Macaca fascicularis: one gene and its partners. The protein of the gene in region 3 interacts with the protein of the main gene of each other region in a biochemical or structural test. Links are inferred from orthologs where the notes say so. Each region holds a gene or a part of one and is shown on either strand. Other genes may lie near its edges. The genes, in order: CD58, CD2BP2 and CD2.

Region 1 (10,437 bases), about 180 kb from region 3:
GGCCTATGATAGGAGGGGCTGCCATGAAGGTTTCTGTTATGCTCTGGAGACATTTTCCCCATTGTCTTGGTGATTAACATTTGGCTCCTCATTACTTATGCAAATTTCTGTAGCCAGCTTGAATTTCTACTCAGAAAATGGGTTTTTCTTTTCTATTGCATCATCAGGCTGCAAATTTTCTGAACTTTTATGCCTTGCTTCCCTTTTAAACATAAGTTCCAATTCCTAACCACATCTTTGTGAACACATAAAACTGAATGCTTTTAACAGCAACCAAGTCACCTCTTGAATGCTTTGCTACTTAGAAATTTCTTCCACTAGATGCCCTAAATCATTTCTCTCAAGTTCAAAGTTCCACATATCTTTAGGGCACAGGCAAAATGCTGCCAGTCTCTTTGCTAAAACATAGTAAGAGTCACCTTTATTCCAGTTCCCAACAAGTTCCTCATCTCCATCTAGAATGAGCAGCATTTGGTTAAAGCCATTCAACAAGTCTCTAGGAAGTTCCAAACTTTCCTACATCTTCCTGTCTTCTTCCGAGTCCCCCAAACTCTTCCAATCCCTGCCTGTTACCCAGTTCCAAAGTTGCTTCCACATTTTCAGGTATCTTTGCAGCAGTGCCCCACTACCCAGTACCAATTGACTGTATTAGTCCACTCTCATGCTGCTAATAAAGACATACCCAAGACTAGGTAATTTATAAAGGAAAGAGGTTCAATGAACTCACAGTTCCACATGGCCATGGAGGCCCCACAATCATGGCAGAAGGCAAAGGAGAAGCAAGGCACATCTTACATGGCAGTAGGCAAGAGACAGCTTGTGCATGGGAACCCCCATTTATAAAACCATCAAATATTGTGAGTCTTATTCACTATCTGAGAACAGTATGGGGGAAACTACCCTCATGATTCAATTATCTCCACCTCGCCCTGACCTTGACACATGGGGATTATTACAATTCAAGGTGAGATTTGGGTGGTAACATAGAGCCAAACCATATCATGGGGTTTCAACATGTTGCTCAGGACGGTCTCGAACTCCTGGGCTCAAGAGATCTGCCTGCCTCAGCCTCTCAGTACTAGGATTACAGGCATGCGCCACCATGCTCAGCCCAGTTCATACTTCCAAACTCTTGCTACTTGCCCAGCACTACCCAGGCCCTATCCACATGTCATTCCACTAATGCAAGCCCACACCAAATCCTGCCAGTTCCACCTTCAAAACACATCCAGATATCTCTTACCCCCAGTGATTCCTTTCCTGCATTGCCCCTGCAGCCTAACCAACCTCCCTGCTCTTCCTTTTCTCTCCTCTACATACTATTCATCCAGCAGCCAGAATAATTCTTTTAAACACCCAAGTCATCATAACTTCACCCCTGTTCAAAATCCTTCAAAACTTTCCAGTCACTGAAAGCAAAAAGGTCAAAATCTTTAAAAGGCCCTAAAAACTTTATCTACAGGATCCATCCCTGACTACTTTTACAACTTCATTTTCTACCACTCTATGCCACAATGGTATCCTTGAAGTTTCTTAAACACTTGAAGCCTATCTCAGGATCCTGAGTAGTATACCTGGAATATCACTCCCCCAGAAAGCCTTGTGGCCTATCTCTCACTTCCTTAAGTGTATGATCAACTGTCACCCTATTAAAGAGACCCTCCCTAACTAAACTATGTAATACTAACCAGCAGAGGGTAGCTGAATTAAATACCATATAGCCACCCTATGGGGGACTGTACAGCTGTGAAAAAGAATGAGGATGATCTCTATCAAGTGATGGGGAATGATTTTCCAGATGTATGGTGAAGTGAAAAAATGAGATACAAAAAAATACATAGAGTGTTACCTTGTTTAAGAAGGGTAGTTAGAAAAAAAAAAAAGAATCCAAATAACATTTTTTTTTTTTTTTTGAGATGGAGTCTCACTCTGTCACCCAGGCTGGAGTGCAGTGTGGTGATCTCGGCTCACTGCAGTCTCTGCCTCCCGGTTCAGGCCATTCTCCTGCCTCAGCCTCCTACGTAGCTGGAATTACAGGTGCACGCCACCACGCCCAGCTAATTTTTTTATTTTTAGTAGAGACAGGGTTTCACTGCATTAGCCAGTATGGTCTCAATCTCCTGACCTCATGATCCACCCACCTCAACCTCCCAAAGTGCTGGGATTACAGTCATGAGTCATTGCACCTGGCCAGAATTCAAGTAACTTTTGAATATGGTATTGCATACATCTTCACTGGGATATACAGATTTTCCTTATTATGGAGTTATATATTGAAAAACTCACTGTAGAGCTGAAAAATCTTAAGTCAAACCATTGCTAAGCTGGAGATAATCTGTAATGAAAAATAAAAGGAACTGTAAAGAAATCTTTAACTGTATTTAGTAAGTTTGTAGTTGGTGGTAGATTGGTATAACAACTGTAAAATGATTTGGGGTTTAACGTAGATTAGGAAAATATACTGATGCTACTAAGAACAGAGTTCTCACTGTGGGAGTAAGGAGATGCAAACACGGAAAAGCAGAAGAGGGAGAAGAACTGAGCAGTAAGATTATTAGTGTTAAAGGTATCAGGGTGAACTCCTGACTTTGTAAAAACTCCATTTCTTAACTTTGAAAACTGACAAGGCTGAGAAGCAATGACACCAGTACCTGTGGGCACACCTAGCACCCAGAACTTGATTTCTAAATACCATCTCTCACTAAAAGAAACCCAGGGAACCTAATGATTTGAAGGCTGAGGCAGGAACACTACAAAATGAGTCCAGAATATCTTTCTGTGCCAGAAAGTAAGGGTTTAAAATCAAACAGGAACACAGCAAAAGGACTCTGAAGCTTGAAGGGGTTCCTGCTTGTCAAATGTGGGGTCGCTGAGCATCAAAATGGATGACAGGAATGTCATATTTAAAAAAGAATCCATGAGTCCATACAACCTTCTAAAATAAAAGAAAAAAAAGAGAGGATGTGTGTGCAAAAGCTATTCATTATGAATAATGTAAACCAATAAATATACATAGAAAAACAGAATAGAAAATTGCTGGGTGGCTCATGCCTATAATACCGACACTTTGGGAAACTGGCTCAGGAGGATTGCTTGAGCCCAGGAGTTCGAGACCAGCCTGGGCAACATGGTGAAACCCCGTCTCTATAAAAAATACAAAAAAATTAGCTGGACGTGAAGATATGTCCCTGTAGTTCCAGCTACTTGGAAACTGAGGTGGGAGGATCGCTTGAATCTGGGAGATCAAGGCTGCAGTGAGCCATTTGTGTCACTGTACTCTAGCCTGGGCAACAGAGTGAGACCGTGTCTCAAAAGAATAGAGAAAAGAAAAGCAAACAAAGAAGGAAAGAAGGGAAGGGAAGGGAGGAAGGAGGGAAGGGAAGGGAAGGGAGGAAGGATGGAAGGGAGGGAGAGAGGGAGGAAGAAAGGGAGGGAGGAAAGAAAATTACCATTTGAAAATATTTTAGTGGCTGGATGTGGTGGCTCCTGCCTGTAATCTCAGCACTTTGGTAGGCCAAGGAGGGAGGATCACTTGAGCCCAGGAGTTTAAGACCAGTCTGGGCAACATAGGGAAACCCTGTTTCTACAAAAAATAAGAAAAAATTAGCCAAGCATGGTGGCATGTACCTGTAGTCCTGGCTACTCAGAAGTCTGAGGTGGGAGAATTGTTTGAGCCTCAGAGGCTGAGGCTGGAGTTAGCTGTCATAGTACCCCTGCACTCCAGCCTGGGTGACACAATGAGACCCTGTCTCAAAAAATTAAATAAAATATTTTAGTGATAATGGATTCTGAGAAGAATCACCATAGGATACTAAAACCACTGAATAAACAGTGGCTGGAGAACAGGATATTCACTCAACCTCAAAACATCACTTAACACATCACTTATTACTTACAAAGATAAAATGGTGCCTCTACAATGGAGAAATCTGGTAAACTTCACTTCAACCAAATAGTCAAAGTTAACATCTCTAATAATGTGACCAACAGACCACATCTGCTTCCCGATGTGACACACTGAGAAAAACCCAACATAACTATGTAGTATTCCTGCTAACAAAGAGTTACAACCAGAATCTGATCATGAGGAAACAAGCAGGAAATCCACATCCAAGGGACATTCGGTAAAGCAACCAGCTCAGACACTTCAAAAATGATGATGTCATAAAGTACCAAAAAAAAAAAAAAAAAAGCAACACTTTTAGGTTAAAGGGGGTCCAAAAGGCATGATTACCAAATGAAGTATGTGGTGCAAGACTGGCTTCTGGGTTCTCTACCAGGAAACAGTATTGTATCAATGCCACATTTCCAGACCATGATGATTCTGTGACTTGTTGGAGAATGCTATTGTTCTTACCAGACAAATGCTGAAGAATTACAGGTGAGGTGTCATGAGGTCTGAAACTCTCAAATGGTTTGACAAAAATAATAGATGTGTGTGTACAAAAAAAACTAATGTGACAGTTAACTGGTGATTCAAGGAGAAAGTATGCAACTATTCACTGTACTAATTTTGCAACTGTCCTAAGATTTTAATTGTTCCAAAATTTAAAAAAAAACTAAATTGAAATATTAACGACTTCCATCTCCCCTTTCTTTGCTTTACTCATCTCTATACTAGTAAATGTTTACTTTTATCACCATTCAGCATCCATGTTTTTACTCATTTACTTACTGTCTCTCTCCCTCACTATAAGGTGAGCTTCAAAAAGGCAGGGAACTGTGCGTACCTTACTGTATCCCCCGTCTATTATGCAGTGCTTAACATACAATTGATACTCAGTAAATATTTATTGAATGACTGATGTTCCCAGTAATTCTATGAAGTGGGTTTATTATTATCCTTTCCCTCATGTGAGTGGCGCTCTCTTCAAAAGCGAAGGTACTGAAGTGAACAGAAGTTAGGGAACTCACACAAGTTCATGACTCAGGTGAGGAGTGGGGCCAGGATCCAAAGCTAGGCATCTGACCCTACAGCTGATGCTGTTAATCACTGTATTTGCAGCTTCCCTAGTGAGACTCGGCTTCCTAGTTGCTTCCCCGCTCCTCGCTGTGGGGCGACTGAAAAGTCCTCTCTGCTGATACGCCGGACGCGGCGTGGGCGGGGACTGCACCGCGCGCTGAGGGCACCGGGCGTCGCCCTCAAGAAGGTGGCATCCGCGACCGCACCCCGTCCCGGGCGCGTTCACGGCTGGGAAGAAGTTTTGCAGTCCGCGGAAGCGCTCAGCGACGTTACTGGGGAGGCCCGGGAAGGAACTTGGTCACTGGAGCTCGGGAGGGGGAGGGCGGGAGTGGGGGCGCGCGGGCCCCGCAAGAGAGGCGAGCGGGCCGGAGCCCGTCCTTCCCTGAGGCCACAGTTCCTTGCTGACTCCATGAGGGACACTGGCGATGAAATAACAACTTTCTTTTCCTGAAAAGGCTCCCACGGCTGAGTTGTTCCCGGCCCACAACGACCCGTCCCCACCCGGTCCCTGATCGGCACCCGCCTCGAGCCCGGCGCGTCCACCCAGCCTGGGCGCTGCCCAGTACCCGCCGGCCGGCGCGGGGCCCCTGGAGCAGGCTTCACTCACCGAAGCAGCGCAACAGGCAGAACACGCCGAGGACCCCCAGGGCTCGCCCCGCGTCGCTCCCAGCAACCATGGCTGGCCGGCCCGCCTCTGCGCGAATACCCAGCCACTAGCAGCCCTAAGTTCAAGCACCGCCTACGCGGGCGGCCAGAAGTAGGGCTCCGCCCCGCCCGGGGCTGGCAGCCCGTGGCCCGCCCCGGCCCTTCCTTCCCCACCCTCCCCGGCCTTTCCTCCCCCACCTTCCCCGGCCCTTCCTCCCCCACCCTCCGCGGCGGCGCATTTGTCTTCCCGCTTCCAGTCCCCAGGCGCGCTCCTGGGCTCGGCTCTGCGCATCTCCTTCCTGTGTCCCCGGGGCGCCGTCCAGTCCCCCAGCTCGGTCCCTCCCGGCATTCCACCGCCATTCCATACGCTATTTTTAAGTAAGAAATTATTTCCTTGAAAGTGGCTTGCGTTTTAAAAACCAGGTTTCTCTGCCTTCCTCCCGCACCTCCCGCGCTTCCCCTTAGCGTTTGGGGCGTGCTGAAGGCCGCTCGGTGGCTGGACGGGGCTGTCGCTCCCGGAGAGCCACCGGAGGAGGCAAGGGAACGGGCAGGAGCACCCGGGGCCCCTCATCGCTTCAGCGCTGTGGGATCCCGCCTCAGACGGCCTCTTTGAACCACTTTGTGAACCACTTTTCCTCAAACATGACAAGGAAAGGGGGCATTTTAGACAACTGTTAGTAGGCGTAGGGTTACCTAGGGCAGGCCTCCTCCGTCCCCACACTCCGGTATCCCCGGAGCTGGGATTTCCAGCCTTTGGTTTCTCCCTTCTCAGATTCCTCTCTCTCTTCCCCCATCTCAACCGTGGACTTTCCCTCAGGCTGATGTCAGATCCACATCTCCCTCACTGCCCAGCCTCCCCACATCCATCCAGCCCAAGCTGCGGCAGGCACTCATCACTCTCCCTCCTTCATCAGTCTGGATTGAGCTGGCCCTCCCCTCACATCCCTATATCCCAGAACAAATGACTCTATTCCCAGAACCAACTCCTCACATCAGCCTCCCTATCTGTCCCCTTTCTTGCAGACAGAAGCACCAGAGTTGCCCCTGCCCGGCCGAAGGAGTTCACAGAACTCTTAGTTATGATGTGAGCAGGAATTCATTTCCATGAACAGGACTCCCTGCTGCCCAAATAACCACCAACACATGGTGCAGGCTGTGACACTGAGTGGGAATGTGCTTTCTTGCTGCTTCCCCTCCATTATCCCCAGGTGGGGACTCAAAGTCACTGGAGACACTTGAACCATATTGCAAAGAGACATGAATTATTTCTTAAGTTAGCCATAAAGTCTTAAAAGGTTATCTCTATCAGTGAAACTTCTGGGACCAAAGCCCTCTACCACAAACCTGCTATCTCAAGATACTCCCTACCATCTGTAGATACTGGGAACACAAGGCAGGTGCAGTGTGTAACATAAAATGTAAGGACATCAAGTGTTCTCTGCCCTGGGCTGGTAGGAACTCAGGCCAACTTAGAAAGGCAGGATTGGGGTCAGACCTTCAGACACTGGGGAGCCACAGAAAGTTTTTGAGCTGGGAAGTGATATGACAGCAAACATCTATTGAGCAGGCCCCATGTGAAGTGCATTACTTGGATTCACTTAATCTTACTGCTGTTGTTTTTGCAAATGAGGAAACTGATGCCTGGAGAAGGTAAGTTACTAAGGGCACACAGTAAAGGGCAGAACTTGGAGTCCAGCTGAGGCCATGTCCAGGGCCTCTACTCTTACCCCTTCCTACAGGAGCGGGATATGATAATGGGACTTTTGGACTGCCAGCAAGAGCTGTTAACCCCCTTAAGAGCAGGGCTGAGGAAAGAACAGCCCAGTCACAAGGGGTTGCGGAAGCCCCTTGCCCCCAGGTCATGGTCTCCAGGTATTGGGTGAGGAATAACTCATTAGGCTTCCTTGGTTGGACTCTCCTTTGACCAAGGAGCGGTGCGTGCTCTTTCATTGAGAGAAATGCTGTCCATCAAGCACTTTTAGAAGCACTCAAATGCCTGGTTAATTTTATGAATCAAAAGCAGCTCAGGAATGCTGGACCTGCAATGTGTTAGGCAGGCAGCCAAAAAGGTTCCCTTTACATACTGAGAACCTGCTATCAAAAGGAGGGGTGGATGTATCTTTCACGCTGTGACCAGTATTGCAAGGTCCAGTTTTATCTTCTTGTCACTGTAGGTAATCATGGATGAGAAAGTAAGAAAGGAGGGCTGCTTAAGAGGCCGGGGCTGTTCTTCCTAGCATGTCACTCTCTGGTGTCTTGACTCTCGTTTTTGCCAAACCCTTGGAACCACTCCCACAAAGCTTAGGAATCCCAGAATGTAGTGAGCAAAACACTGCCCCAATCCTGCATAAATGCAAATTGTCATTTTCATTGCATGCCTCATGGGGGAATGTATGTTCACTTCATTTATATCAATACTGAGTGGATTTGCACAAAGGGCATAGAACGGTAATCTTATTCCATAATACTCTATTTCCCTTTTTAAAACATTCCCTGGCAGAAAAAGAACATTTGAAAAAAATTAGGAAAAATTATACATAAGACTTAACATGGAACCATTATGGGTACCCAAGGGAGAGGCAGTCACATTTTCAACTCCTGGCCAAGCCAGCAGCTGCAAGGAGTTGATGAGGATGCAGCCGATGGTTCTGGGGAGCAGAGGATAGCACACACGAAAGCTTTGAAAGTCTTGGACTTAGGAGAAGAAAAAAAGAAGTGTCTCCCTCTGCTTCTTACTATCTAGTTCCTTTTTGCATGTTCTGTGAATTTTAAAGAGTTACAGCTGGGTTCTGGCTAATCACGTATCACTGCGATGGCTTTAATCATTCTAACATTCTTCTCAATTTGCAGATGTAAACCCCTCCCAACACTGGAAGAGGAAACAGAGACCAGTGCGCTGTGCAGTGTCATTCAACTAGAAGGCACAGCTCCTGCTCTTATCATTCTGGGAAATCCTTGCTGCATTTCATGGCCAGGGCAGCACTTCATAGCTGGAAAAGGATGGTGTGGACTTGCTGCAGAGGCCCTAGAGATGGCCATCCTGTGTTCCTGCTCTCCTTCTCATCCGGTTTCTATACTCTAACCCCCAACAAAAATGCGACAGGTTGTAAGATCTACATTCTGAACCTGCCTTTCAGGGGCTAAGTGTGTTGTGTGTTGCACAGCTCTAGCGGTAGCACAGCCTTGATCATCAGGGTGGAGGTGTCTATTGACTATGGTATGTCGCAGCAGATGGCAGTGAAGTGTCTTGAGGAAGAGGTGTTTTTATCATTTAAAGGTTACGGGGTGTAATAATAAAGACTGCAATTCACAGACCTTGAGCCCAGCAGGCCAATGCCAAGGGCAGAACTGTAGGCCTCCCACAGCACAGTCCCACAGAGGAAGGGGGCTGGTTAGTAAGGGGGAAAGAATGATAGAAGACCACAGTAAATGTAAACAGCCATATTTTCAACATAATTTACTACAGGTCTCTGAAGTGTATATAAAATGTTTTAGTGCAACATCTTACAAATAGTTTTCCTTTAAAAAACAGAAACAAATCAACAGCTCTCTACATCATGCATGGGTAGTTTTCTTACCCCATCGTTTTTTTTTCTTCAATAATTAACGCAGAGAAACCATTGTTTGAAAATATGAAAACTTGCTACAGAAACACCCGGTGAAAGAGGGTGTTGTCATATTCATGTCCTAGAATGCGCCTAGCACAGTGTAGTTTTTCATAAATGCAACATTGTAGACATAGATGAATCGAGAGTATTCAGCAGTTTTCCTCCGTCTCAGAAGACTAAAGCTCCAGTAGACAATGCGCAATGAGGTCTCACAGCCACTGGAGGGCACCATTACCATCCATCTGACATCGCATTTCCACAGAAATGGCCAAAGAAAGAAGGTCCTGGGGTTTTTCATAGAAAGCTCGAAAAGTTCAACCTTTGATGCTATCCCCCAGCCCAATACAAAATACACAGAAAAAGCAATTATTAAAATACTGGCTTCGGTTTCTTTTCCTTTCAAATTCCTGCAATTGCTTTACACATTTAATTGCGTGCAGCACCTACTTTGCTATCGAACAGATTCAAACTGAAATCTTAGTTATACATCCTAGTCCCAGCCAGCCCTCTGGCATCCTCCCATTTAGACAGAGGAAACGCCAGTCATCTTCCCTCATTGACTCAGCCTGTAAAGTAGGAGTCAGCAAATTCCCACTGAAAGCCCACATCCCTGAAATAAAGAAATGGGGCAAAAGACCTTCTTTCTTCATGACTGAGCCGCTCCTGTACCTCAAATGTGTTGATGCAGCATAATAAATGAGAATCAGCATGTCAGGCAACAGCAGGATTAAGGTGGTGGTGCCTGCACACTGTCTCACAGGAGGGTACTGGTGTATTTGGGGGAGAAAAGGCAGGTCTGTGTGTGTCTGTCAGAAAATGACTGAGCAATCGCTGCCGTGCTCCCCTCAGCTGGGAATCAGCAAAGCATCTGCCGAGCAGCCTGGGCCACCTGCACACCTGCAGACCCTTGAAGGATCAGCACAGACATTGGCCTGGGGAATCCCACGGCCTCCCCTGCAGTCTGCTCGTTCTCACAACAGGGCTTCACTGGAATCTCTTATCAGACTTAGTTCCAGAATCCCTGACGACTTTTTCCAAATTGTGACCCCCCTCTTGGGACTCAGGATGCAAGTTCCCAGAGTAAGGGAGATGGCATGCTTGGCCAGAAAAATATGGGAAAGCAAGGGTATAAGAACATCTTCATAAAGTGAGCAAAAGGAAATATTTGCAACTGATGATGCCCCCAGAGGGACAAGCATCTGGCCCAACAGGGTAAAAGAA
Region 2 (10,595 bases), on a different chromosome or scaffold from region 3:
AAAGACATTCAGTGCTAGAGGAGGGCTGATGCTGCGGCTGTGGAAAGCTTCCTGGAGAAAATGACCTGGAAGGTTTCTGGGATGTGGCAGAGGAAGGAGGGTGAGGGTGCAGCCTGTGCTGGGATGGCAGGGAGCATGTGGAGTGTGTAGCCAAAGGCGGAGCCTTGGGGCCTGGAGTGCTCTGCTGTGGGCTGAGCCTTTAGCTGAAGCTTGCTCAGCAGGACTGGACAGGTGGATGGAAGGTCCTGGTAGTAAAGCTCTGGGATGAATCTGGAACTGGGCTTGGGAACAGAGCTCTTGGCCCCTGTGACTGCCCTCATGGTCTTCCCCAACCCCCACAGGCAACAGGACCTGTACCGAATCCTGAAGGCCTACACCATCTACCGGCCTGACGAGGGTTACTGCCAGGCCCAGGCCCCCGTGGCCGCGGTCCTGCTCATGCACATGCCTGCGGAGGTCAGCTCCCTGGTTCTGGGCCGGGAGGGGCAGGGGGGATCTCAGCCTGCAGTGGTGATGGGGGAGCTCCCTGCTCCCTGCTTCTCAGGCCCCACCCCTCCTCCTTGTTCTTGCTCTTCTCAGCAAGCCTTTTGGTGCCTGGTGCAGATCTGCGACAAGTACCTGCCAGGTTACTACAGTGCAGGGCTGGTGAGTGTCTGAAGGCTGGGTGCATCCAGAGCTGTGGCATTTCCTCCAGGCTGCAGGGAGGTCCTTGCCTTGCCCCACCCTGGCCTTCTCAGCCTCTGCCCACAGGGCCTGCCAGTTCTCCCCTGATGGGGGCACAGCTGACTTAGCCCTCTTCTCATGACTTGTCCCACCTGTAGGAGGCCATTCAGCTGGACGGGGAGATCTTTTTTGCGCTCCTGCGCCGGGCCTCTCCACTGGCACATCGCCACCTGCGGCGGCAGCGCATCGACCCTGTGCTCTACATGACGGAGTGGTTCATGTGCATCTTCGCCCGTACCCTGCCCTGGGCATCGGTGCTGCGTGTCTGGGACATGTTTTTCTGTGAAGGTACTTCTGTGGCCCTCCAGGCCATGAGGGGCTATGGTGGCTACCAGGGGTTCTGTGGTCCCTGGACAAAAGGTACTTGTGGGTGGAAGTTTCACCATAAGCAGCTGGGGGCTGGAGAAACAGGCCTGATTTTGGTTCTGCCCCCAACCTAGATCCTGCTCTCCCTGCCAAGATCCTGAGACTGATAGCAGCTCATTTCCTTTCATGGGGCCTCAGTTTCCTCATCTGAGATTGGCAGTAGATGGGGATGAGGGCTGTGAGTCCGTCCTAATCAGGACAGGCTGAGATCCTGGGTCTGACCACCCTGTGCTCTCTACTCTTCACCCCTGCAGGCGTTAAGATCATCTTCCGGGTGGCCCTGGTCCTGCTGCGCCACACGCTGGGCTCGGTGGAGAAGCTGCGCTCCTGCCAAGGCATGTATGAGACCATGGAGCAGCTGCGTAACCTGCCCCAGCAGTGCATGCAGGAGGACTTCCTGGTGCACGAGGTAGGCCTGCACCCTCAGCACAGCCCCTGCCTGCATCAGCCCGCTCCCACCCTCAGCTCCATTCTGGTATGCACTTCCTCTCTGTCCAGGTGACCAATCTGCCAGTGACAGAAGCACTCATTGAGAGGGAGAATGCAGCCCAGCTCAAGAAGTGGCGGGAAACACGGGGGGAGCTGCAGTATCGGCCCTCACGGCGACTGCATGGCTCCCGGGCCATCCATGAGGAGCGCCGGCGGCAACAGCCACCCCTGGGCCCCTCCTCCAGCCTCCTCAGCCTCCCTGGTCTCAAGAGCCGAGGCTCCAGGGCTGCTGGAGGGGCCCCCTCCCCACCGCCTCCCGTCCGCAGGGCCAGTGCTGGGCCTGCCCCAGGGCCTGTGGTCACTGCTGAGGGACTGCATCCATCCCTTCCCTCACCCACTGGCAACAGCATCCCATTGGGTTCCAGCAAGGAGACCAGGAAGCAGGAGAAGGAGCGGCAGAAACAGGAGAAGGAGCGGGAGAAGGAGCGGCAGAAGCAGGAGAAGGAGCGGGAGAAGGAGAGGGAGAAGGAGCGGCAGAAGCAGGAGAAGGAGCGGGAGAAGCAGGAGAAGGAGCGGGAGAAGCAGGAGAAGGAGCGGGAGAAGCAGGAGAAGGAGCGGCAGAAGCAGGAGAAGAAGGCTCAAGGCCGGAAGCTTTCGCTGCGTCGAAAGGCAGATGGGCCCCCAGGCCCCCACGATGGTGGGGACAAGCCCTCAGCAGCCGAGGCCCGGCAGGACGCTTACTTCTGACCTCTGCCCTGGGGCTGGACTGCATGGCCCCCTTCTTTCCCTCAGCCAAGAGCAGGCCTGGCCCGAGGTGCCACCCCCTAGCCCCTCGGCAGGCTGTCCCTCACTGGGGAAAGTGGCTTGGTTCCCCATCTCCTCGCCAGCCGCTGATCCCTACACGGGCAGGACAGATGGGCAGCTGCAAACGAGTCTGGAGCCTCTCATCTCCCATGAGGCTCAGCTGGGGTCTTTGTCGCTCCTGCCCCAGTTCCCTCTGGGTCCCCTACTAGGTGCTGTCCTGATTGGCCCGTTGTCATCCCAGGGGTGACTCCTGGTGATGGGAGTCAGCAGTTTCAAATTCTTACACTCCATGGCTCCCCTTACCATGAGGTGGAGCTGGCTTCCTTTTCCCTGTCTTCAGCCCTCCCTGTCTCCAATTCCTGGCCTGGGCTCTCCTTCTGGACCTTTCTGTGTTGTAATTATGTACAGAGGATGGGGTTGGCCTGGGGTGGGGATGCTCGCTTTTGTCTTCTGTCCTTTGGTTCTCCTTCCATAATGCTCCTGTACCCAGTTTATTTAAGGGGACATGCACTGGAATAGGAAATGTCCCCCATATCCCTTCCCGCACCCTGCTGTGCACCCTCCAAACCCACCTTGCTCTGTGTTCTCAGGCCCCCCTGCTTTGTCTCACCAGGACCCCTACCTTTCACCTTGTTCCCTTCCACCCCTCCAGTTAGTCCCTATCTGGGTAAGGGTCTTCCCTTGAGCTCCAGGGGGTGGAACCCAATGTTTACATTCTCTTCTGTCTCTGCCCCCACCCCATGCAGCGCTTTGAGGAATCAGAAAAGAACCTGCTGTTGTACCCGAGTCTGTCTCCTGCCTTGTTACTTGATGGGGGTTGGGGTGGGGTAAGGATGAGGGAGGGAGGGAGAGACAGAGCCAGGACCTGGGTCTCTGTTAAAACAGTCTGCTGTCTTGGCAAGTAGGTATCTCTTGGCTTTGGGTCCATCTCTCAAGTCACTCATCAGACACTGGTTGAGCTCCTACTCCAGCTTTGCCTGGGATGTGCTGTCTCCATTGTCACTGGCTGCCTGGAGCTCTCTAGGTACCACCTGCAGCACCCAGATCTGCTTCCCAAAGTGCTCATGCAACTCCTGGAAGCTGGAACGGGTACTCATGGTGGCTAGAAAGCCAGTGTCCTCTGGGCATGAGATGGGTTCTTGGCCAGCTGCCTGGCACAGCTCCCGGTATTAGGTCTTGAGTGGGGGCAGCAGCCCAGCCAGCCACCTCCAGCTCACACCAGCCAGTGCCCACAGCCAAGTCTCCAGGTTTTCCTGGGTTTCTGCAGCCAGCTTGTAGGCCCGCCCACCCCAGGAGTCAGGATGGTAAAGGCATAGGGTTCTTAAGGTGTAGCTCCACCTGGCAGTTCTCCAACGGGATGAGGCCCAGGGGTGCATGATCGGTCTGGTGTTCTAGGTAGAAGAGGTTTCCTTGGAGGATGAACCATCGGTGCTGGTAGCTGAGGTTTCGGGTCCCCTTCTTTAGCAACATGCCTTCCTGGTCTGGGGCCTGTGTTCTGTAACCATGGAAGAAACTGAGCATGGACTTTCTGTGCAGTTCCATCGTGATCCAATATGGGAGGAAATCCCTAGGGAGAGAGAAGTGGCCCATCTAGTTGCCTTGGGGAAGAGTAGGGGAACTCTCACACTGTCCTCGTCTGGCTCCAGCAGGTGCCGCCTGGGCAGTCTTTGCTTAGGGGGATGCAGGCTCCGAGTGTCCTCAAGAGCTAGAGGTTCCAGTACAGGGGCTGACCCCCCGCCACCTCCCCCAGTCCCGCTTCTGCTTGGGCCACATTCTGTTACCTGGGCACGAGTTGCTAGGCCCTGTTTGCTCAGAGGAGCTTCATGCTACAGAGAGGCACTGTTGCCCTTTTCCAGGCCGTGGTGCTAGGCCCTGTTTGCTCAGAGGGGCTTCATGCTACAGAGAGGCACTGTTGCCCTTTTCCAGGCCTATCTGAGAGCAGGGCACAGGGACTTCTGGCCTGGGTACTGGTGCCAATGCCACCTCTCCAGTGATGGCTCTCCCACCTCAGAAGCCAGGAACTCGCCCAGGGTATGGGCGTGGGACAAATGACTTCCCCTGGGTCCTAAAGGGAGCTGTGTCCAGAAAGTGCCCCGAGAGCCGTCCAGGGGCCCCGGGCTGGCCATCGGGAGAGCCAGGCTTCCCCTCGGGGAGGGCAAGGCTCCACCTCTCAGATAGGAGAGCTTACCACCGGACCACAGGAGTGGGAAGGCAGGATTTCTAACGAGACGGTAGGGGCGCTGAGCCCTCAGCCCTGGTGGAAGGGTGACTCGAACCCAGCACAGGAAAACGGGGCAGCGACCCACTGGCCCTGCTCGGACTTTGCCCCTCCATCCTGACCCTGGGCGACCCTTTAAGTAGATGCTCTCGTTTTTCTCCAGAGCCTCTACTGCTTGAATGAGGGAATCGAAGGTACTTCCGGCCATTTCTCACGCCCGGTCAGAGTGTAGGCATTCACAGGTCCCCTCTTCTCGCCATTGTCCTCCCACGCGACTGACGTCACTTCTTGCGGGAGAGAGGGTGGAGGCGTCTTCCCTCGCTCACCGCGTACTTCCGCCCGCTCTTCCAGTTAGTTCCCTAACCCGAGTGAAGCCACTTCCGGGCTTCCCAGGCGCCTTCCACAGTCCTCTTCCGGGTGATGGCGGCCGGGTGCCCCGGATGTAGCCTTGGCGCAAGCATCTCTTCTTTTCGCCACCTCGCCTCCCGCGGAGTCCCAGGTGAGCGCGCGAGGGTGGGACAGCCCGGATCCCCGTGGCCCTCTAATTTGTACACAGCCCGGGACAGTTGGGGCTCACCACACGGAATTGGGAGTTCGGAGCAGGGAGGAACGGGGTGGCGAGAGCGCCAGGTCCTGGGTCTGCCCGGGCCCCGCGAGCTCCGAGAGAGCCAGAGTAGGAGGCGGGGGTCAGCCGGTCGAGCCGGTGGCGCCCAGACTGCGGGGGCTGGAGTTGGGAGCGGTCACGTGGTGAAGTCTGTTCCCTGTTGGCCAGGGTCAGGGGATCCAGAGGGTCCGCTCCTCCGTCCCCACCCCATTTAACTCGCGGATGCTAGACCCAAGTCCTGCAGGCCTCCTGGCTGCCAGCTTCTCTTCAGCCCTTGCTTTTGTGCTCCCTCCGCTCCCAAACTGTACCTGTCACAGACCAGGAAAAATATTTGCTGTGCTGGGTCCTCTGGTGGCGAGTCCCCTCCTCACCCCATTCTCTTTCTCTGTATCCTTTCCTCAGCTTGAGAAACACCTCTCTGCCCCGTCATGCCAAAGAGGAAAGTGACCTTCCAAGGCGTGGGAGATGAGGAAGATGAGGATGAAATCAGTGTCCCCAAGAAGAAGGTGAGGGGGCCAGACTCCTTTGTGTGGGGGAAAGAGAGGAGCTAGAAGCCTGAGGAGAAAGAAAGCTGGCGGGAGTGGGGCGGGGCGGGCAGGCAGAGAAAAGCCTAGTTTTTTCAGGTTCTCTGAAGAATGGGTTGGGAGCATCTTCAGTGTGGGTCCTAAAATATTTGGGGAAGTAGTCGAGATCCTGAAATATTTGGGGAATATTTGGGTCCAGATCCGGAAGTATTTGGGGAGGTAGCCAGTAACCTGCATTTCTTGACTTGACTCCTGCTCACAGCTGGTGGACCCTGTGGCTGGGTCAGGGGGTCCTGGGAGCCGCTTCAAAGGCAAACACTCTTTGGATAGCGATGAGGAGGATGATGATGATGGGGGGTCCAGCAAATACGACATCCTGGCCTCAGAGGATGTAGAAGGTGAGCTGTACCCAAGAATACACTCTGCTGGAGAAACAAGTAGGGGCCTCTGGTGGTGTGGAGTGAGGGAGGCTCCAGTCTCTCTTTTCCATGCCTAGAAAAGGGCACCTGTGTCTTTGGTACAGGTCAGGAGGCAGCCACACTCCCCAGCGAGGGGGGTGTTCGGATCACACCCTTTAACCTGCAGGAGGAGATGGAGGAAGGACACTTTGATGCTGATGGCAACTACTTCCTGAACCGGGATGCTCAGATCCGAGACAGCTGGCTGGACAACATTGACTGGGTGAGGCCCAGGGGCTGGTGTGGCTGGGGCCGGGGAGTGGCGGATGCTAGGCCTGCTCCCATGGCAGTTCGTGGGAAATCACTGCATCTTTCCATGACAGGTGAAGATCCGGGAGCGGCCACCTGGCCAGCACCAGGCCTCAGACTCGGAGGAGGAAGACAGCTTGGGCCAGACCCCAATGAGTGCCCAAGCCCTCTTGGAGGGACTTTTGGAGCTTCTGTTGCCTAGAGAGACAGTGGCTGGGGCACTGAGGCGTCTAGGGGCCCGAGGAGGAGGCAAAGGGAGCAGCAAGGGGCCTGGGCGTCCCAGTTCCCCTCAGCGCCTGGACCGGCTCTCCGGGTTGGCCGACCAGATGGTGGCCCGGGGCAACCTTGGCGTGTACCAGGAAACAAGGGAACGGTTGGCTATGCGGCTGAAGGGTTTGGGGTGTCAGACCGTGGGACCCCACAATCCCACACCCCCACCCTCCCTGGACATGTTCGCTGAGGAAGTGGCAGAGGAGGAACTGGAGACCCCAACCCCTACCCAGAGAGGAGGTAAGCTTGGAGGACAGAGGAGGGGGCAGTGGGCGGGAAGTGAGACACCGGAGGTCAAATGGCTTTGCCTGTTATTTTAGAAGCAGAGTCGCCAGGAGATGGTCTGGTGGATGTGATGTGGGAATATAAGTGGGAGAACACGGGGGATGCCGAGCTGTATGGGCCCTTCACCAGCGCCCAGATGCAGGTGAGCTGCTTTCTCCCTCCTTCTGGCTTGTCCCTGCTTCCCCTACTCCTGTCAGTCCTTCCCCAGCTCTGCCCTCTCCTTGCAGACCTGGGTGAGTGAAGGCTACTTCCCGGACGGTGTTTATTGCCGGAAGCTGGACCCCCCTGGTGGTCAGTTCTACAACTCCAAACGCATTGACTTTGAGCTCTACACCTGAGCCTGCTGGGGGCCCAGTTTGGTGGGTCATTCTTTCCTGGACTTTGTGGAGAAGGCACCAAGTGTCTCAGGCAGTGAGGAAATTGGAGGCCATTTTTCAGTCAATTTCCCTTTCCCAATAAAAGCCTTTAGTTGTGTATTGGGGCCTTGGCTGTGCTGACGGCCAGAAGCCAGGGGCCTTCTCCACAGCCACTTTGGACTTGCCTTGGTCCCTGAGTGTTTGCTCCCATGAAGATCTTCTTTGGAGGTGCCTGTCAGGTGTCCTGTGGCCTCACTGCCTGGACTCTGCTTGCTGTGTAAACACCCCCAACTGCGCTACTTTGTGTTCCTCTCTGAGGTTTCTTGTTTGATTCCCCTTAGGTCTTTGGCTTTCAGGATGTCAGATTCTTTGTCCTTGTAGCCACCAGGGGATGGAGCCCCAGAAGTGGAGCTTTTAGGCCTGGAAGGACCGGGGCATGGAGAAGACATTGGGTCTCTGTTGGGGGTGGGCATGGAAACGTTTTACTCTTGCTCCACCCTCTCAAGCTCCATAGACACTGGGCAGAAGTGGGATGAGTGGTCCAAGACCGAGATCCCTAAGGTTCTGAGAGCCAGTATCTTCCCTAGCCTGGCTTTCTTCTCTCCTTGCAGTCGTTCCCATAGCCCTTCAGTGAAATGCAAACTCAGTGGCCAAGCGTGGGCCAAGCGTGCGTTGTACTGGCACAGAGGGGCAGTGACTCACTGGAGGTCACAGGAATCAAAGGGCTGGCCCAGAACCAGTGGGCTCCTTTCCCAGACCTTTCTTGGCACAAAGCCTTTGCTGCCTGGCCTTTGAGGCCCTGCGGCCTACATTCTCTCGGCCCCACTAGGTGCCTGGCACAGGGCTAGTGCCTTCAGGAAACTGAGGTAGCTGGGCTGGTCCCCTTCCAGGAATTCAGAGTTTGGTGGCAGAGGCATGGGTGTAATTCTATAGCCTGGGCCTGGCACCCTCCACCCCCTACCCCCTACCAGCATTGCCTTATGCCTCCCTTGCACCACGTTAGATGGTTTCTTCCGGTTTTCCATTCTGGCTGCCCTTTGGAATCTCCTGGGGAGCTGTAATATCTATTTGGATATTCGGATTGAGCTGGTCTAGGTTGTGGCCCAGGCATTGGGTATTTCGGAAGCCTCTAGGTGTTTTCAGTTTGCAGCCAAGCCGAGAGAGAGCCCCTGGGTCCGACCCCCATGGTTGAGGCACCGCTAGCAGGAGGGCTGGCTCCTGGACCCCACTGTGGTTGTAGAGCTGAGCGTGTGTGTGGCTTTAGTGCCGTCCATTAGTTACGGGGATCTGGGCACCAGAGCTGCAGGACACTTGGAATCCCAGGGCAGAAAGGGCCAGACGAGCAACTAGGAAAGACTTGGGGGCCAGGGTGGAGTGGGGTTACCGGACGCTCTTGTGAGGCCTGCTCTAGTGCCTGCTCACACTGGAATTTCATTCACTCCAAGAAGCCATCAGGGGTAAGATACCTTCCTTTAAACATCACTAAGAAAGAAGAGGCCTGCCAGTGACACAGTAAGATGCCATTGATCTAAAGATGCGTCTTGATTTCAGAAAGGTCCGGAAGTGGAAAGCAGGTGTCAGGGCTGAGGTACAGGGTTCACCTGTAGGCCCCAGGGATGGTCTCTCAGGGGTGCTGAGTGAGTGCATGGTAAATCAATGGAGCCCAGGGGCGCCTCCTGCCGGTGTCCTCCAGGCACTCAAACCTAGCCCTTCCGAAGCCGACCTCACGTGACCTCACAGCCCCTCCTTAGGGCGCCTCACTGACGACGGTGGTGGGTGGAATAACAGCCACCAAAGAGGTCCAGGTTCTGAACCCCAGAACCTGGGAAAGTGTTACCTTGTATAGCAAAAGGGACCCGGCGCCTCTGCTTCAGTTCAGGATTTCATGGTGGGGAGATGACCCTGGGTGGTTGAGGTGGGCCCCGAGTAATCATGGGGGCCCTTATAAGGGAAAGGGAGTCAGGAGGGTCTGCGCGTGAAGCAAGGAAGCTTCTGGCTCTGAAGATGGCAAGAAGGCCCAGAGCCAGGCGATGAGGTGGCCCCTGGAGGAGCTGAAAAAGGCATTGGATTCTGCCCCAGAGCCTCCGTGGAGAAACAAAGCCGCACTGACACAGCTTCAGCCCGGTGGAAATCATTTTGGACTCCTGACCTCTAGAACTGTAAGATAATAAATTGGTGTGGTTTTCAGCCTCTCAGTTTGTGGTAATTTGTTAACAGCCCCAATAGGAAACAACTACTCATGCATCCAGCGGATGCCTCATGAACCACCCAATCTCGCTAAGTTCTCCCTTCCTGTGACCACATTGCTATTTCAGGTCCCTGTCAGGACTTATAAATGTGGCTGTCTCTTGCTAGGGTGGCCTTTATAGTACATCTGAATCAGCGCTCCTTGGCTTTTTATTTGTTTTGTTTTTAGAGACAGGGCCTTACCTAGGCTGGAGTACAGTGGTGTGATCATAGCTCACTGCAACCTTGAACTCCTGGGTTCAAGTGATCCTCCCACCTCAGCCTCCTATGTAGCTGGGTCTACAGGAGTACACCACTTCACCTGGCTAATTAAGAAACTTTTTTTTTTTTGTAGTGGCAGGGTCTTGCTTTGTTGCCCAAGCTAGTCTCAAACTCCTGCACTCAACAGATCCTCCCAGCTCAGCCTCCCAAAGTGCTGGGGTTACAGGTGTGGGCCACTGTGACCAGCATGCTTTTCTTTTTTAGTTGTATATATGCAGTTTATATGTATACAGTTTGTAAGATATATATACAGAGAGATTTTGTTTGAGTAAGCTTTTTTTTTTTTTTTTTTTTTTGAGATGGAGTTTTGCTGTTGTTGCTAGGCTGGAGTGCAAATGGCACGATCTCAGCTCACTGCAACCTCCGCCTCCTGGGTTCAAGGGATTGTCATGCCTCAGTCTCCCGAATAGCTGGGACTACAGGCACCTGTCACCACGCTTCAGTACCCTTCAGTGGTTTTTTGTATATTCACAGGGTTGTGCAACCATCACCACAGTTTAATTTTAAAACTTTTTTTTCCTGCCATGAAAGAAACCTGACCCATGAGTAGCCCCTCCCACTACTCCCCACCCTTCCTCACCCCCCAGCGCTGGCAACCACCCATCTACTTCCTGCCTCTAGATTTGCCTCTTCTGGGCATTGAAGATAAATGGAATCATACATGTGGTCTTCTGGGTCTGGCTTCTACTTGGGCCTATGCTTTCAAGTTCAATTATGTTGCAGATATCTTCATCTATCTCGCTTTTTTTTGTTTTGTTTTGTTTTGAGACTGAGTCTTGCTCTGTCACCCAGGCTGGAGTG
Region 3 (10,441 bases):
GAGGTACTGCTCCTTGCAGAGCAGGTATACACTACAGTCACAGCAGGTATACACTACACTACACTACTGCCTAGAGTATCAGCTTAAAGGTAGTTTTGCAGTCCCATTTGTACCCATTGTAATTATATGCAAATTAAAGGGCAGATTATGCAGAAATTTCTAGGAAAAGGGTGGTAACTTCTGGGTCTCCAGGTCATTGTCTTGGAAAAAGGTGGTAAAGGTTGGGTATTGCCATGGCAACAGTAAACCAAAATGGCACACTGGTGGGCATGTCCTATGGAAAGCTGCTTCCACCCATCTCTGTTTTAGCTAGTCCTCAAGTTGGTTCAGTGTCCAAGCCCCACCTCCAGAGTCAAGTTCCACCTCCTACTTCAGTGCCACCCTAAAACATGCCTTTTTAGCATATGGGTTATTTTGAGCAAAAGGCCATCATGAACCAGCAGAGGCAGTAAAAGCTTTAAAAACACGGCACAAGATTTTTCTTTTGTAAAGAAAATTTACAATTTCTGAAGAAAATATCCATTTGTAAAAGGTATCTCCCTCTCCTGTATCCAGAAGAGGAGGACTCTTAACAACTCTTATCAATGGAGAAGGCATTGGCTTCAATCTGCCAACAAACCTTACTAAATAACTCATAGTTTACCACACTTTTCCTGGTTATTCAATAACCTGCCTCTCCCACCTAGAAGCCCCAAATCCCTTTTTGTTTGTTTAGCCTAAGATACTCTACAAGTCCAAGTTCTAACATCCCTTTGGGTTACTCACCACTGGGTGCTCCCATGTTTATGAGGGATACACATCTTAATCAACTTCAATGTTTCCCTTGTTAACCTGCCTTTTCCCAGTCTAGTTTACAGGGTTCCAGCCAGAGAATCTAAGATGAGCAGAGGAAAAAGATTACTTTTCTCCTCTCCTACAATTGGGATCTGTTTTTGTCATATTCCACAGCTTGTCTATGTCATGATTTACTTAACCAATTTCCTTCTCTTAGACATTTAAATTGTTTCCAATTTTGGCTTTAAAATACTGCAGTGTATAAATTTATAGCCAAGTCTAGTACATAGCCTTCATTATTTCCTTATGATAAAATCATCCTTGTGGACTTGTTAGAAATCCACATATTTTTGATACTTCTAATTCACACTGACAAATTGCCCACCAGAAACTATACCTATTTGCAATTCTCCTATATACGAGAACGCTATATACAAGAACGCCCACTTTCACCATCATCAACACTATGTTTTCATTTTTCAAATGAAGATGAAAAATGCATCCATGTTAAAACTGACATTCCTTTATTCATAAATAGAAACAAAATTCTTCTTTTGTGGATTGCTCCTTTTATGACTTTGACCTATTTTAATATTAAGGTGTCTATCTTTTCTATGTTTACAAGAAAAATTTAATATTAAAAATTTAATGTTTACCAGGCACGGTGGCCCACACCTGTCATCCCAACACTTTGGGAGGCCAAGGTGGGAGGATCACTTGAGCCCAGGAGTTCAAGATCAGCCTGGGCAACATAGTGAGACCCCAGTCTCTACAAAAAATAAAAAAAAAATAGCCAGGCATGGTGCCACATGTCTGTATTCCCAGCTACTCAGGAGGCTGAGGCAGGAAGATCACTTGAGCTCAGGAGGTCAAGGCTGCAGTATATTGTGATCATGCCACTGCACTCCTTCCTGAAACAGAGCAAAACCCTGTCTCTAAAGTTAATTAAAAAAAATTGTTATGCCTTTGTCATGTATCTTGCAAGTAATTTGCTCCTTTTAGTGCATTCTTTTAATTTTTTTATGGAAAAATACAAAGTTTTCACATTTTACAGAGTCAGATCTACCAATCTCTTTCTTTTTCATGGTTTCTGCCCTTGAAGCCATGCTCATCACTCAGAGTAGAATTAGTTTTAGAGGAGCAAAATCAATGTTTCAAATAGAAAAGCAGAAAGCTGCTCTTCACATGCTCCATGAGGAAAGTGAGAGGAAGAGAGGGCAAGCGCACTCAAAAGCTGAGACGGGGGAGAGGATGGCCAGCGCCACCTTCTCTCCACCAGGCCTTGACAGACTGGAGTTGGACAGCGGCTGGTGGGTCAGCCACTCACAAGCAGGGAAGCTCTGTGCTGCTCCTCTGGGTTGGCAGATACTTTTGAAAAAATATGTGTGCCCTAAGCATCCTTTCTTAAAAAGACATTTTTTATTACAAAAAAAGTGTTTACTTCCAAAATTTTAAACTTCACAGAAATTAATAAAATGTGAAAGAAAAATAAAATGCCAGGACCCCAATTCATTATGCCAAAAGGAAAAAATAAACTGAAAGTTGAGTCACGCAAGAAACTGCCTTCCCTTGAGTTCCTAAGCAGACAACTACAGACAAAAAGCTGCTGTCTCCAGGGGTAGCTACTCTATGTTCACCTTATCTTATGAAAGTGCCAATTTACTGAGCATGAGAAGAATACACAATTGACCATTCCCCTACCTGCTTCTTTTCTCTTGCAACATATGGATTCAGTAATGTGACCGTGTCCTCCCTCCTTCCCCTCTGACCGGCTTTTCCCCTTTAAATACTGAAGCCTTCAAAACCATGTTGAGAAAAAGGCACAAACCACAGATTGTTCCTGTGGTTCTGTGTTCCTTTTTGTCCTTAATGTTGATGAAATAAACTTCTAAATTGATTGAGACCTATCTCAAGTATTTTTTTGGTTTACAAAGGTAAGAAGTGAAGATTTCATTTCGGTTCTCTCGCAGTCTAATACCTGAAAGACAAGCACTGTAAAAAAATTCACCATCAGCCCTTTCAGGCTTTTTTCTCACACATACCTTAAGAACAACAGAGTATGATACAGTATACTGGTATACCCGTAGCATAGTATAAACACAGTATCATATATAAAAAGGACTAATCCTATAGATATTGTTTTGCAATTTACTCTTTTCATGTGATTTTCCAAAAGCATCTTTCCATGTCTTACTTTTAGGCCTATGTTATACTATTTTGATGCTTATGCAATATTTCATAATATGAATATACTATAATTTTACTGGTTTGCAATTTTTTATTACAAAAATGATACAACAAACGTCCTTGAACAGCATTTTAAAACATCCGTGCTTTCATATGTGTGGGATAGATGTCTGAAGTTAAAATCACTCGGTGAAAAAAAGACAAATTTTAAAGTTTGGTGGAAATGAAATTCCTTTCCCCAGAAGGTGTTGATTTATATTCCCTCTGATGTTGTATGAAGGTTCATTTCTCCACACATTCATGTTAATAATGTAAATTATCATTTTTCCTAATTTTGCCAATCTGATGGTGAAAAATGGTATTTTATAGCTAAGATATATGCATATAATTCTGGTGACATTGGACTCCTCTTGCGGGTTTGATATTTCTTCTGTGAACTACTTCTTCTGTAAGCTGATCATTTATATCCTTTGCCCATTTTAAAAACTATTTTGTATTGATTGATAAGAATTATTTCTATGTTTTGAATATTAATAATTTTATACATATCGCAAGTATTTTGTCATGCCTTTTCATTTTGTTCCTTATTTCTTCATCTGCACATAAATCTTACTTCTTTACATCATCAATTGTGTTCATCCTTTCCTTCTTACTTTGGATTATGTGTTATATGTAGATAGGCCTTCCATACTCAAGCTATAAGAATATCTTTCTGTATTGTCCTTTTAGCATTTTAATTAATTAATTATTTTATTTTATTTTATTTTTTTTGAGACAGAGTCTCACTCTGCCGCCCAGGCTGGAGTGCAGTGACACCATCCTGGCTCATTGCAACCTCTGCTTCCCAGGTTCAAGCACTTCGCCTGCCTCAGCCTCCTGAGTAGCTGGAATTACAGGCACACGTCACCATGCCTGGCTAATTTTTGTAGTTTTAGTAGAGATGGGGTTTCACCACGTTGGCCAGGTTGGTCTTGAACTCCTGACCTAAGGTGAGGAGGTCCGCCTCGGCCTCCCAGAGTGCTGGGATTATAGCTGTGAGCCGCCACGCCCGGCCTCCTTTTAGCATTATTGTAGTATTTTTGCATTTAAAATTTTAATTCAACTGTTGTGCATTATTGTGGAAGATGCTCATACAACCATGAGGTAAATATTTGGGCTTCCTTTTACCCAGTAATAGCAAACAACTGCTTTGACTTAATTTCATTTCCTTGGCAACTTTCTGACAGATAATATCCATATTTGTACTTAGAGTTGAAAAAGAAAACAAGCACCTCTTTTACAGTTTTTACTCACTGTGACCTAAAGAATTGTAACGCTGAAAATGTGCTTTGGAAGTCTGTCATGGTTATTCCTCTTTTTAGGCATCTTTTCAGGGCACATGCATCTCTGCATCATTGTCTCTTTCCTTGTGTCACAAATTTCTGTTCTCTTTTTCTCTCCCTCATTTCTTTTTCTCCTAATCTCTCCTTTTTCTTAACCACCTATAATGTTAATCACTTTAAATGCTTTTGACTCCTTTGTTTTGGTGGTTTAATTGTATTTCATAGTCTCCATGCTTCTTTGTTTTGGAACAAGTTTCTATTTACCTAACTGTGAATTTCACTAGGGTTGTAAAATGTACCCCGAACATAGGATTTGGGGATTGCAAGCATTTACAGCTGATACTTAATTTCTTTCTTTTCATCACAAAAACGATTTTAGAACATGAAAAATATCTTTGGAGAAACAAAAAAATCAATTTCCTAATCATTTTATGGGCATACTTTTCAATATTTATAATCATATAGGATAAATATTTGCATTCTGCTAATGGCTTGGCTTGTGAACATTTACCTATATTTCTCTGTGGTCTTGTTAGGGACAGTATACCTAAGTGGATAAAAGGCTGGGAGGTTGAATTTGGCTTCTTGTTTACAAAAGACTGATCCTTATTCATCTACTTAGCCTCTATGTTCCTTTTCTCTTTCACTGAGATGAGAAAATCCATCCATCCCAATTTTTTGTGAGGATTAAAATGCGGTAAGAAAACACACACTCATAAACACATCTGCTTTGGTAAAGGAGCACATCAGAAGGGCTGGCTTGTGCGCGCTCTCGCTCTCTGTGTATGTGTGCTGTGTTTTATGTTACTGTAAAAGATGTAAAGAGAGGCACGTGGTTAAGTTCTCGGGGTGTGGACTCCACCAGTCTCACTTCAGTTCCTTTTGCATGAAGAGCTCAGAATCAAAAGAGGAAACTAACTCCTAAGATGAGCCTTCCATGTAAAATTGTAACCAGCTTCCTTCTAATTTTCAACGTTTCTTCCAAAGGTAAGTTGGTGGATGGGTCTCCACTGTCACGGTTAGAAGCTTCTTCTTCGGAGACCCTGAAGTAAGCATAAGAGCCAAAGAAGTCCCAACCCAACTTTCCCTGGAGGTGACTCTCAGTAACTCTTTTGCTTTTTCTAGGTGCAGTCTCCAAAGAGATTAGGAATGCTTTTGAAACCTGGGGAGCGCTGGGTCAGGACATCGACTTGGACATTCCTAGTTTTCAAATGAGTGATGATATTGATGATATAAAATGGGAAAAAACTTCAGACAAGAAAAAGATTGCACAATTCAGAAAAGAGAAGGAGACTTTCGAGGAAAAAGATGCATATAAGCTATTTAAAAACGGAACTCTGAAAATTAAGCATCTGAAGATCCATGATCAGGATAGCTACAAGGTATCAATATACGATACAAAAGGAAAAAATGTGTTGGAAAAAACATTTGATTTGAAGATTCAAGGTAAGTGTTCATTCCCTTAATTGCTTTATTTCAGTGTGGGTGCTATTTGGCAAGTTGGAAAATAGCATTTATAATATTCCCCAACGCTGACCTCTGCCTCCAGGGGGGCTGTACAGGAAATCAGATGCATGTCTCCTGCGCCAGTGGAGACTGTGGTCCAATGATGGAATGGGATCCACACATCTGATAGACACATCTGAAGTCTACCTGCCTACAACTCTCTCTTCAGGTGGTTACAGGAATGTGAGGCTGGGTGAAGAACCTGGATTAAGGTGGCATTAATCAGGAGAGGGACACAGGTGGGCAGAGAGAAAAGGCAACTGTTCCAGGTTGCTGATGAATGGGCAAGTTAAGAGTGGGGCGGGAAAAGGCTGACTGGAGAGCAGCGGGCCTTTCATCGACAGAGCCCATTTCAAGCCAGGCTGCCCTGAAGGAGGAGTTATATGGCAGAAAAGGCCTGGAAACAACATATTTAAAGATGAACAGCCCTTGTTTTGGATCTGCTTGTCAGAGCGATTCAAGGTGATAGGTGATTTTTGCTAATATGTGTAGAAGATGCACAAGGTGTGGCTTTATTTATCTCTACCTGTACTGGGAGGGCAGGAGTGGATATTGAGGATGGGGTTAGGGAGACTAGTCAGAAAGCTGCTGCTGTGATCCAAGGGAAGTGAGGACCAATTAAATCAGATGTTTTTGCATGCAGCCTGGGTATCATTAGGTTATAAAGCTCCCTGGGGGATTATAATGAGCAGCCAAAGTCAGTCACCACTGGCCGAGACCAAAGGGTGCCTGTAAAATGGGAAGAATGAGGATAATAAAGGTCAGGCATAGAGAAAGGTGGCTTGGGCAAGGGAGAGAAGGAAGAGAAAGTGGAATCGAAATGCCATTGAAGTTGAAAGCCCAGGGGATGCTGGGGAGGGAGTCATAAGAAGGAAAAAGAAGAAGCTGCGCTTGACTTGGGGAGGCAGACAGGAACCCCAGCATGAGCACAGGCCAGCCATTCAGTGAGCAAATAAGCATTTCTGTGCTTCACACAGAAAATGTCGCCAGAAGCAGGGTCCCCTCCTTCTTCCTCTCTGTCTCCAGCCCCGTCTTCAGCACCTGGGCCTACCAGCAATCCCAGATAGTGTCAGATTGCCCAGTCCAGCAATCCCAGACACTGTCAGCTCCCCTGCAGTGACAACTTTCCACACCCTAGTCCTGCAACCCTGAGTGGGAGCACCTTGTAGAAATGTAGCGGGGTTGAGCATGGCGCTCAAAAGGGCCCCTGATTATGGGCTCTGGAAACCACAGATCTCAGGACTCCAAACAGCACAAAATTTGAGTGTCCTGTTTTGAGTGTGAGCCCTACGCGGGAGACCATGCTGGTGTTTTCACATTTGGGTCGCATTTAGCATTGCGGTGGAAATAGTGGCTACCAGCTAGGGGTCAGGTGCTTGCTTACATGATCTTACTTAAAGCTCCCAACAATACTGAGACATAGCTGTTATTATCTCCTTGTTATATGTAAGAAAACAGAGACCTAGTCAGAAGCAGCTTGTCCAAGGTCTCATTGCTTGACAGGAGCAAAGTCAGGATTCAAACTCAGAGGTCTTTTTGGCAAGGATGATGACCTTTTCTCTTTTTTTCCAAGCAGCTTCATTGAGATAACTCACCTAGCATTCAATTTGTCCATATACTAAAATGGCCTTTAGTATATTCAGAGTTTTGTAACCATCACCACAATCAACATTTTCATTGCCCCCAAAAGAAACCCTTCACCCTTTAGCCTAAAGACAGCGACTTGCTTTGTGTGTGTGCACGCCAATGTCATACAACATCTTGATTCAACTTGTAGTTGGGCACTATTACCAGACTTGAGGTCACCATGGCCTTGGGCAAATTCCCTATCTGCTCTGAGTCTGATTTTTGAATGACAACTTCAAGGGATATTCAATGAGACAATGTGTGTACAAGTGCCCTGCAGTGCCTAGGGCACAATACCTGTTTGCTCAGTGCTAATGCCCTCCCACATCTCTTTGTTTCTCCAAGCTTCTCTTTGTTGTTTTTTGTGTGTGTGTGTAAGATGGAGTCTTGCTCTGTTGCCCAGGCTGGAGTGCACCAGCATGATCTCTGCTCACTGCAGCCTCTGCCTCCCAGGTTCAAGTGATTCTCCTGCCTCATCCTCCCAAGTCGCTGGGATTACAGGCGTGTACTACCACGTCCAGCTAATTTTTGTATTTTTTTTTTTGCGGGGGGGGGGGGCGGGGACGGAGTCTGGCTCAGTCGCCCAGGCTGGAGTGCAGTGGCGCGATCTTGGCTCACTCAAAGCTCCGCCTCCCGGGTTCACACCATTCTCCTGCCTCAGCCTCCCAAGTAGCTGGGACTACAGGCGCCACCACCACGCCCGGCTAGTTTTTTGCATTTTTAGTAGAGACGGGGTTTCACTGTGTTAGAGATGCCATGTTGGTCAGGCTGGTCTCAAACTCCTGACCTCAGAGGATCTGCTTGCATCAGCCTCCCAAAGTGCTGGCATTACAGGTGTGAACCACGGCACCCAGCCTCCAAACTTCTCAAACTCCAGTAGTTGTGCCTGCATTTCCTTCATGAGGGAGTTGCTGCTGCAGGCTGAAGAGGCAGTGGAGGGCTCCTTAGAAACATATGCTGGTAGGGAAGGGGTTAATCCCAGCAACTCAGAACTAAGGAGTTCTCAACCATGGAAGGCCTTAGGTTGGATCGGTTCTAAGATGCTATCTTAGTGAATGTATACGGAGGTACCACTCCACAACTCCCGTCACTGCGTTGTTCATGTTAGCGAAATGCTAGAACAGTCAGCAGTCAGAAATTTATTAATCAATTAAATTAAGAATGCATCCTTTAAAAAGATGGAGATATGCATTTATTGATGTTCATTTAAAAAAGAATGTCATAATATAATTTCACAATAAAGGGAAAAAGGCAGACTATAAGATCACATAAACTAGTTTTAATTTTAAAAATATTACATATATATATAGAGAGAGAGAGAAGGAGAGAGAGAGAGAGAGAGACAGGGTCTCACTCTGTCGTCCAGCCTGGAGTGCAGTGGCGCAATCTTGGTTCACTGCAGCCTCTGCCTCCTGGGTTCAAGCAATTCTCATGCCTCAGCCTCCTGAGTAGTTCGGATTACAGGCACGTACCAACACACCTGGCTAATCTTCGTATTTTTAGTAGAGATGGATTTCACCATGTTGGCTAGGGTACTCTTGAACTCCTGGCCTCAAGTGATCCGCCCACCTCAGCCTCCCAAAGTGCTGGATTACAGGCATGAGCCACCTCACCCAGCTGAAGTATTACATTATTTATATATGTACACATAAATAGAAAATATCTGATAAAGATATACATGAAAATATTATTCATTATTGACCTTGAGTGGTGGCATTGTGGGTAATTTTTAATCTGCTTTAAACTTTTAAAAATATTTTATCAACTTGTACAATAACTGAAGTTGAAAGCCCACGAATGCTGGGCAGGGAGTGATAAGAAGGGAAAAGAGGAAGCTGCACTTGGCTTGGGGAGGCAGACAGGAACCCCAGCATGAGCACAGGCCAGCCATTCAGTGAGCAAATAAGCATTTCTGTGCTTCACACAGAAAATGTCGCCAGAAGCAGGGTCCCCTCCTTCTTCCTCTCTGTCTCCAGCCCCGTCTTCAGCACCTGGGCCTACCAGCAATCCCAGACAGTGTCAGATTGCCCAGTCCAGCAATCCCAGACACTGTCAGCTCCCCTGCAGTGACAACTTTCCACACCCTAGTCCTGCAACCCTGAGTGGGAGCACCTTGTAGAAATGTAGCGGGGTTGAGCATGGCGCTCAAAAGGGCCCCTGATTATGGGCTCTGGAAACCACAGATCTCAGGACTCCAAACAGCACAAAATTTGAGCGTCCTGTTTTGAGTGTGAGCCCTACGCGGGAGACCATGCTGGCGTTTTCACATTTGGGTCGCATTTAGCATTGCGGTGGAAATAGTGGCTACCAGCGAGGAGTCAGGTGCTTGCTTACATGATCTTACTTAAAGCTCCCAACAATACTGAGACATAGCTGTTATTATCTCCTTGTTATATGTAAGAAAACAGAGACCTAGTCAGAAGCAGCTTGTCCAAGGTCTCATTGCTTGACAGGAGCAAAGTCAGGATTCAAACTCAGAGGTCTTTTTGGCAAGGATGATGGCCTTTTCTTTTTTTTTCCATGCAGCTTCATTGAGATAATTCACCTAGCATTCAATTTGTCCATATACTAAAATGGCCTTTAGTACATTCAGTTTTGCAACCATCATCACAATCATGTTACTGTGTTACTGTTATAAGTAGAAAAAAAAAAAATCCATTCTGAAGAGACAGGCAAACTTCATGACCCAACCCCTAGACTATGTACTAACTGGTTGCTGAGTGTAGATACTTTCCATTTTCTTCCTTCTCAGTAACGCCGATAGCATCTTAGAACTGATCATCATGGGATGAGAAGAAAACTTTTAATTTAATTTCTGCATGCCTATATATATTGGGACATAAATGAAGTTTGACTGTCATGTTCCATGGGGAAGATATTGGTGTCTGGAAGTCAGAGTGGGAGGGAATCATTGAAAAATAAGCTAGTGGGTCTATATTATGAATGGAGAGAAACTGAGAGGGAAAAGTGGCAAGTCTGGGGGAAACAAAGCAAAGAATTAGAAAAAAAAAAAAAAAAAAAAAAAC

Evidence for each region.
Region 1: the proteins of CD2 (region 3) and CD58 form a complex in vitro, tested with the Homo sapiens proteins (3 studies listed by BioGRID and IntAct, with this or other methods). The link is inferred for Macaca fascicularis from reciprocal best matches to the Homo sapiens genes CD2 and CD58.
Region 2: the proteins of CD2 (region 3) and CD2BP2 interact in a biophysical measurement, tested with the Homo sapiens proteins (6 studies listed by BioGRID and IntAct, with this or other methods). The link is inferred for Macaca fascicularis from reciprocal best matches to the Homo sapiens genes CD2 and CD2BP2.

What each region holds. Positions count from the first base shown.
Region 1 is NC_088375.1:117,822,124-117,832,560, reverse strand, and holds the start of CD58 (lymphocyte function-associated antigen 3), read right to left. Parts: upstream 5,660-10,437; 5' UTR 5,641-5,659; coding exon 5,571-5,640; intron 1-5,570. UniProt on the Homo sapiens protein: Ligand of the T-lymphocyte CD2 glycoprotein.
Region 2 is NC_088394.1:28,490,866-28,501,460, reverse strand, and holds CD2BP2 (CD2 antigen cytoplasmic tail-binding protein 2), read left to right. Parts: upstream 1-4,969; 5' UTR 4,970-5,039; intron 5,040-5,546; 5' UTR 5,547-5,572; coding exon 5,573-5,650; intron 5,651-5,930; coding exon 5,931-6,066; intron 6,067-6,191; coding exon 6,192-6,349; intron 6,350-6,449; coding exon 6,450-6,885; intron 6,886-6,965; coding exon 6,966-7,072; intron 7,073-7,138; coding exon of another isoform or gene 7,139-7,157; coding exon 7,158-7,268; 3' UTR 7,269-9,481; downstream 9,482-10,595. Other genes in the region: TBC1D10B (TBC1 domain family member 10B), read left to right, coding at 342-456, 580-645, 822-1,011, 1,344-1,498, 1,588-2,265. UniProt on the Homo sapiens protein: Involved in pre-mRNA splicing as component of the U5 snRNP complex that is involved in spliceosome assembly.
Region 3 is NC_088375.1:117,641,234-117,651,674, reverse strand, and holds the start of CD2 (T-cell surface antigen CD2), read left to right. Parts: upstream 1-5,146; 5' UTR 5,147-5,209; coding exon 5,210-5,270; intron 5,271-5,408; coding exon 5,409-5,729; intron 5,730-10,441. UniProt on the Homo sapiens protein: CD2 interacts with lymphocyte function-associated antigen CD58 (LFA-3) and CD48/BCM1 to mediate adhesion between T-cells and other cell types. CD2 is implicated in the triggering of T-cells, the cytoplasmic domain is implicated in the signaling function.